Macaca fascicularis: one gene and its partner. Each later gene encodes a partner of the first gene's protein in a complex. Links are inferred from orthologs where the notes say so. Each region holds a gene or a part of one and is shown in the gene's direction. Other genes may lie near its edges.

Region 1 (4,354 bases):
GCTCTGGCGTCCTGTACGCCCAAGTCCTGGACCTCCTAGCCCTGACTCATCGTCCAGAGTGCACCGGGCGGCGGCGGTTGCGGGCCCCGGGGCATGCTGGGAGCTGTAGTTCCCTGGAGCCCGGCCCTGCGTTCCGCTGACCTAGGGGGATCTCCAAGCGTCTCTCGTCTCCCCCAAACTCCTTAATCCCGCCCGTCCGAACTAGAGTCTAGTCCTCCGACGGGGTGATGGGATAGGATGGGACAGAAGAGGAAGGGGCTTAAGTCACTGCAGCCAGAGGGATGGAGGTGGACTGAAGGGAGGGCTTCTCCGGTGGGGTTAGAAGAGAGAAGTAGGGAAAGAGAAGTGTAAGGTAGATGGCAGAAATAGAGGCACCGAAAAACAGACTCTAAGGTTCCTGATGAAATCTGTCTCGGCCAACACAAAAGGGAGGGCACGGTGGGCGGGGGGTGGGGGCACCCAAGCTAGGGTGTGAGTGCCCTAAGTGTATTCTTCTGAGACGTAAACCATTTCACTAACTCTTGAAGCAGCTACAGTTTCCCAGTGGGAAGGCCCCGCCAGGTTCGTTGCGCTTCCCTTAATAAAGCCTCTGAGATCTTCCTGAACATTCCCTTCTGTCTCTGCCCTCTGTTACTTCCAGAGACCATGTGCCCAGGCAGATGGAATCCTCCCGGGCCTGAGAGGAACTGCAGGAATTCTCCTGCCTCTTACCTGTGAAACCCCAACTTCTCTAGCCCTAGGTCAGGAAGTTCCAAACAATTTCTACCCCTCTCTCTGCAATTCTCATTGGGGTGAGAGGAGGCCCTGGAGGAGAGAGAGCTGGGGTCAGCTTCTTTTTGAGCTGCTGGAGCCCTCTGTGAGGAGGCCCTCTTTGCTGGCTTCTTAGGAGAGTGTGGCTAGGTTCTGCCTGCCTATGGGGAGACGGGCCAGGGTGTGTGCAGCAAGATGGTGGCGGCGCTGGTGCCTTGGGACCTGGGGGAATGGGACAGCTGGTCGGTTCAGAGATGGCCTACTTTACTCACAGCTGGAATTTAGTGGGGAGAAGCAGCTCAACTCCAATCCTGGAGGATTAGGGAGATTAAAGTGAGAGAAGAGAGAGATGTCCCAGAGACCAAGAGGTGAAAAACAGGGGTCCTTGTGGAGGGGAGGTCTGGGATTGAAGTGGGGGGCTGGGGCTCAGGGATCCTTCTCCCTGAATCTTTCCATAGGGCTTGGGGTGAAGGGCACAGGCTGGGGAGATGAAGTGACAGTGTGTTCGTCTTCCTGTGTTGGCCTCTTCCCTGTCCCAATTCTCCTTGCATCGCACTAGCTCCCAGGTCAGCCCTCTGGCTCCTGGCACCCCCGCTGCTGCGGTGGGCACCCCCCCTCCTCACAGTGCTGCATAGCGACCTCTTCCAGGCCTTGCTGGGTGAGTAGCCCGTTTTCTGAGGGACCTGGGCCTCCAAGGGCTGTCCGTTACTGAACTTCGGGGGCTGTTTGGGAGCCTGGAAATCATTTGGTCCAAGCTGGAGCCCCAAGCAGGGTCATGCCTATGGTGTCCTCCATGAGTGTGGACCAGCCTTGGCTGAAAGGGCTCCTCCCTTGCCAGCCGGACAGCAGCGGTGATGACAGGGGTGATGTGTCTGGAGAGGCCTGGAATGGGGAGGTAACTCAGTTCTGTTCTGTGGCAGACATCCTGGACTATTATGAGGCTTCCCTCTCAGAGAGTCAGGTAAGGAGGTGGGGGCGAGCGCCTTACTTCCTGAGGGGCAGGCAGGGCTGGAGGGGTGAGGCAAATATTGCTAATATTATATGGAAACTTGGGGGCCCTGCAGACGAAAGACTGAGTCGGTGGCCCAGGGACTTGGGGCACCGAGAATGCACTCTCTGTGGTCCTGTACCCCCTCTCCCTTTCTTCCTCCTTTTCTTTGGCTGCCTCAATTTCAGGCACTAAAGAGTCTAAGGCTTTTTAGGTTTCCCCCTGAGAAACCTGAGGCAGAACTAGGCCCCCAGGGATTGCCTCCTGCAGCCCCTCCCTCATACCCGACCCCCTACCGCCTGTCGTGGCCTCCCTCCCGTATTCAAATAACCATGGGTGCTCCCAGCCCAACTATAGGTGCTTCCTTCTCTAAGAAATGAAATCCAGCCTCATCGTCTTTGCTGTCATCGCTGGTGGCTGGCCAGGTCTCCATGTTTGCCTCAGGGCCTCTGTGCTTCTGCTTCTATCTCCTTTCCCATTATCCGGGTTCCTGCCAGCACGGAAGGAGTTAACTCTGCCAAGGCACCCCCCCATTCTGGCTCCTAGCTCCCTCCCTCCCTCCCCCTGCTTCCTCTCTCCTCCTCTCTCCCCTTCCCTCTTCGGCTCCACGGCTCCCTCGGCCGCTGCCGTTTCCAACCCCCCCACCCCACTCCCCCGCCACGGCCCCTAGCCCCTGGCCGTTTGGCAAGATCCCCCCCTACCCCGGGGCTCCCCGAAATCCAGTTCCCCTCCCCCACCCCAGCTCATGCCCCAGCCCCCGAACTCCGGGGCTGCCAGCCCCCGGTGCCCCCGCCCCTCCTGAGAATCGGGGTGTGCTCCCCAAGCCCCCTCCCCTCCATTGGGGAGCCCCTTTTAGGGCCCCCTTCCCTCCCCTCCCACGCTCCCCTCCCCTTCCCTTCTCCAACCCCCTCCTTCCCCTCTCACCCCTCCCCCCATCCTGGCCCCCCCTGCAAAAGTGGGGTGCGGAGGGGGGAGGGGTGAGAACCCACGGAGGGGAGGAACGAAACTCCGATGAAGTCAGAGCCCCTTACCCGCCGCCGCGGCCAGGCCCCCCAACATGGACTGTCTCTGTATAGTGACAACCAAGGTAAGCATGATGGGGGGGCTATAAACTGGGGGGAGGGCATGAGTTTGTGGGGAGGGGTTAGTAGGCCTTATCTGGGACTGGCGTCCCTGGAGTGGCAGCATCAGAAGTAAGATGTATTTGGGGGTCTTAATTTAGTTTTGGGGTTCACATCTGAGAAAATGCTGGATTTGGCCACAGGTGCCCCCTGGAGTGATCCCTTTGTACCTGTAGGGAAATGGAAAATTTAGGATATTCCATGGTTTGGGGGGCCTGGCGGGTTTCGGGGTTCACCAGCGCTGTTTGAGGGAGACTTATTTAAGGAGAAGCCTGGCTCACAAGGAAGTCCTGCTGGTGTATGTGGGAAGGTGGGCTATGCTGGGGGGGTTCCTCTTTCCTCCCCAGGGAAAAGCTGGCTTCCAAGGGCCTTGTCCAGTTTTGGGGGGCTCCTGGCATGGGGGTAAAGGTTATTGGTTGTGAGTGCCTGACTGGTCTGGGGTGTTAGCTGGCAGGGAAGGGGTGGGCCTTCAGACTCTGGAACAAGCATCTCGTGGCTGCATTTAGGGATGCACTCTCAATTTGAGGGAACTGTTAATTTAGGGTTCAGTCATATAGAATGGAGGTAGTTAGAAGTTGTCAGAGGGCTGGGGCCCTGGCATGGGATTACCTGAGGGAATGGACCAGGTGAGGCAAGGATGTGGGGGTATTCCCATAGGAGGCAGAAGATTGCAGCAGCCGAGCTTGCCAGCCTCTGAGGAGGAGGATGAGAGGCTTAGGGAGAGAGGGGATTTGAGGAGGGGGACCGGGTGGGTGGTGCACAATTTGGGGGTGGCCCAAAGGCAGGGGCCCAATGTCCCCATCTCCTCCCACACTGTATCTAGCCCTGGTCAAGAAAGAGGGAGAAGAGCAGATGGGGGGACTGTTCCAGATACCCCTGACGCTTGGGATCAAGATGGGGGAGGACACCAGGATTTAAGGGTCCCTGAGGACTTATGACCGAGGGTACTGAGGTTACCGGGGTGAAAAGGTGTAGGAGGAGGGCAGGGCTGGCAGCGGTGGGGATCTGTGCAAGAGTGTCCCTCTGGTTGGAGCCTGGCAAAGGCAGGAGATCCTGGATGGAGCACAGGCGAGCTCCTGGTGGGATGCGGATACCTAGGCTCTGCTTGGAGACTCTGGGACTGGAGAGCTGGATGCCTGGTGTGTGGAGGGAGGCTTGGGCGGGTGGCAGGCAGCTGGGGGCTGGGGGGTGGGACAGGAAGTGGGGGCCGGGGGAGGCGGGGTCCGGGTGAGTCACAGGCTGGGGAGGGGGTTATATTTAGTGGGAACTGCAGCTTTTCATGGGAGGGAGCTGAGGACACACATGTTCCCTGCCACAAACTCACACATGTGTGTACACATGCATTGTGCACGTGTGAGGATGGTTGGAAGAGATTGGGGGCTGAGGACCTTTAGATTTGGAGCCCCCACACTCTCTCCACCAGGGCGACTTGCTTGTCCCTCATTCTGTGGGCTTCGGGCTTTTTCCCAGGCTGCCTCTTCCCCACATCCCTGTA
Region 2 (3,648 bases), on another chromosome or scaffold:
GACTTTGAAATCAGTGGGACCTGAGTATGGACCCTGGCCCCGCCACTTACTGACTGGGCTTGAAAGTTACTTACCCTTTCTGAACTTTACTCAGTCTTCTCATTTACATGATGGATATAAATTAGAACTGACATCATGAGGTTGTTTAATAAGATCAAATGAGATTATACATACATGTTTCAGCAAACTAAGTGCCTAACTCATAATAATCACTCAATAAAAGTTGGTGATTTTTGGAGAGAAAGAAGAAATACTGAGATTTAATTAAGAGAGTAGAAATAATGATGATGACAATGATGATAATGATGACAATGATCCTTGGAGAAGCAGTTGTTTTGCATGAGCAACACATTGTGTATAAGTAATATAATATGTACCTGATTGTTTTTTTTTTTCTTCTTAATTTTCAGTGTGCACCTAATTGGCCTATTGGTTTGGCAATGCGATATTTCTGTCAGCCCAGTAGCAGCTATAGTAACTGACATTTTCAATACCTCCGATGGTGGACGCTTCAAATTCCCAGACGGGGTACAAAACTGGCCAGCACTTTCAATCGTCGTAATAATAATCATGACAATAGGTGGCAACATACTTGTGATCATGGCAGTAAGCATGGAAAAGAAACTGCACAATGCCACCAATTACTTCTTAATGTCCCTAGCCATTGCTGATATGCTAGTGGGACTACTTGTCATGCCCCTGTCTCTCCTGGCAATCCTTTATGGTAAGTACAATTTTATTCACTTTTCAATCTCATATAAGGTTATAAATTGCTGTCATATTATAGTAAACACTCATAAAGTTAATTATTTTACTTGTAACATTTGGAAAAAGACAAAAGCAAATTGTGTGACAGAAGGAGTTGGATGTATGTATCATATTTATTAAATAAATCAGTAACAGTCTTCCAAAAGCAAAACAGACATTTTGTAATATATTAAAATCATACATAGATGCTCTCCAGCTTAGTGTCTTTGTAAACAGTGAATGAACAGTTAGTTGCCTTACAGTATACCAAATGGGACAGTAACAGAAACATCTTTCAAGCCCTGTGTTCTGGGCAGTACACATACCTACTACCATCTCCGATACAAAGAAGGAAAACCAGGCTCATCCTCTTTAATAAATATATTTTAAGAAATCCTTTTTAAAGCTGCCAAACTAAGTGCTTGACACAAAACAGGCACTCGATAATAGCTATTCTTCTTGTTCATGGAGTCTATAATTTCTGTTATTACAAAGAGACAAGAGATAGCAAAATTAATTAGTAAGTATTTAAGTGCAAGTTCATATCATCACTTTAAAAATTCAGGCATTGAAAGTTTCAATTGATTTTAAAGAGGTTTTTAATTTTTCTTTTGATTTTCTTCCATCCCTTCATTCTGGTCATTTTAACCTAAGGTTTCATTTCCAGCTAATATTTATGATGAACAATCAAATTGTATACACAATTCTACAAAGTATGTTTACTAGGAAGTTGGAAAGCCCAGTTTGAATTTAATTGCTAATATGCTTATCTCACAAAGGAGTAAAATAGACTTCCAGTTGCCTAGAGTGTATAATGAAACTAGAAGAAATAATATTGAAAGTGTATCTAGTTGTCGAATCCTAAAAGAAAATAAATGCATCTAGAAAATAATCTCTCATGAAATGTAAAAATTAATTAGCCTGTTCTAAACCTGCAGCAATAGTAGATTATCTTAATAGGCATTTCATAAAGTGTTCTCAGGAAATATGCTTTTCTTATTCTTCATCAAGTTTCAGTGATGCATTAGCCTTAAAGCACCAGTATTTTATCTGCTCAGTGGGCATTTTACTACTCTATTGCTCCAAAATTAAGAAAAGATTACTGGAATGAAGTGAAACTGTGATTTAGAAGGTATACTTTGTTCTGTGGTGTCTGTTTTGCCAGCTTCTCCCTTTTAAAAAATGTGAGTGGCCAAATAATAGTATTAGCATAAATCCAAGCCTCTTAACATATCTATTCCCCTGCCCAAATAAACAAAGAACAATATAAAAAACAATGAAACTACACAATACCACCATTAAGTGTGGAGAACATTCAAATTTCAAATTACCTGTAAGTAGAAAAACAAACAGGAAATAACATTGAACTATCTATTAGGCTTCTACCCCATGCTGTTGTGTAGAAGAGTAGTCTAGGAAAAATAGCATGAAATAAACTAGAGGAAAGCTATTAGGAAGCCTAAGATTGATCGAAACTCACCGCAAGTGGCCAGGCGTGGTTACTCGCGCCTGTAATCCTAGCACTCTGGGAGGCCCAGGCAGACGGATCACTTGAGGTCAGGAATTTGAAACCAGCCTGGCCAACATGGTGAAACACAGTCTCTACTAAAAATGCAAAAAAATTAGCCAGGCGTGGTGGTGGGTGCTTGTAATCCCAGCTACTCCAGAGGCTGAGGCAATAGAATTGCTTGAACCCGGGAGGCGGTGGTTGGTTGCAGGGACCCGATATCACACCACTGCACTCCATCCTGGCGACAGAGCAAGAATCCATTCAAAAACAACAACAACAACAACAACAACACAAGCAAGTAAGTCTACCCCAAGTGTGAAAATACTGAAACGTTTCTCTAGAAGGTTAGCCTTTAGATAAGGTACTGAAAAGTATGCATAAGACTCAAGAAAGCAGCATTAGAAAATTAATTCTTTGGAGGTAGAAAAAAGTAACAAAGAAAGCAAGAGGTGACTTGAAAAAAAAAAAAAGCACAGTGAAAATAAAAAGAAGCAAGAGGGGGAAATTTATCATCTCACAATACGGAAAATGCCAAAATATTAGGGCCCATCATCCCTCCCTCTACTGTCTCCCACTGTCCCCCAAAGACCCTCCAGTAAAGAAACCATACTTTGATACACAAAGAGAAGAGGATGCTCTTGAGCTTGGAATTTTGGAAGCTACCTACAAACTGCCAGTCATGTTCATAGAAATTCTGAGATGCAACCAATCTTCATCTATACCAAGGTACTGTAGAAAGAAATCAGAATATGAGAATAGAAAGAAGGCATTTGATGAGCATTCCCTCCACTAAAGAATGATCAAGCAGAAGAATATGCTAGCAAAACACTTCAAAACAATATCTTCAAACAAGCACGTTAAGGTATTAAAAATGTACCTTGAAGTAGTAATCTAATAACTCAGAATAGAAATGGTCAAAAAATAGGACAACATGAAGCAAAATTAACTGAATTCAGGACAAATAAAACAGAAGAAAAAGACATCGTATCAGGAATGAACATGAAAAGCACCCAACAAAGAATTGATTCATATGAAACTTAATAAGGAATATAGAAGAAAAACAGGTTAACAAAGAGAATGAAGATGAGACAAAGAAAGAAGTAAAATACGTCAGAAAGAGAGTGGTTGAAATGAAATATCAGCAAAAATGATCAAATGTATGTATGAGAATTCTTGAAAAAGAACAAATAGTAAAACATAATTAGTATTTAAAACTATAATCCAAGAATGTCCTCCAGAAATAAAAGAGAATCTGAATCTACATATTGATAGGTTCAACCCAGTGCTAGAAAACTGACCTGAAACAATGAACTCAGAGATAAATCTGTGACATTGGATTTTCAATATAAAGAAAAAATCCTCAGGGTTTCCAAGCAAAAGGAGGGAAAATT

The links.
Region 2: the proteins of DLG4 (region 1) and HTR2C are in contact, whole or in part, in an NMR structure (PDB 2MHO), measured with the Rattus norvegicus proteins. The link is inferred for Macaca fascicularis from reciprocal best matches to the Homo sapiens genes DLG4 and HTR2C. Residues at the interface, in NP_062567.1 of Rattus norvegicus: Gly74, Leu75, Phe77, Ser78, Ile79, Ala80, Asn85, Pro86, His87, Ile88, Thr97, Lys98, His130, Val134, Leu137, Lys138; in NP_036897.2 of Rattus norvegicus: Val452, Val453, Ser454, Glu455, Arg456, Ile457, Ser459, Val460.

What each region holds. Positions count from the first base shown.
Region 1 is NC_088390.1:7,264,588-7,268,941, reverse strand, and holds the start of DLG4 (disks large homolog 4), read left to right. Parts: upstream 1-1,408; 5' UTR 1,409-1,525; coding exon 1,526-1,711; intron 1,712-2,304; exon of another isoform or gene 2,305-2,795; coding exon of another isoform or gene 2,796-2,825; intron 2,826-4,354. UniProt on the Homo sapiens protein: Postsynaptic scaffolding protein that plays a critical role in synaptogenesis and synaptic plasticity by providing a platform for the postsynaptic clustering of crucial synaptic proteins.
Region 2 is NC_088395.1:121,112,574-121,116,221, forward strand, and holds part of HTR2C (5-hydroxytryptamine receptor 2C), read left to right. Parts: intron 1-410; coding exon 411-724; intron 725-3,648. UniProt on the Homo sapiens protein: G-protein coupled receptor for 5-hydroxytryptamine (serotonin).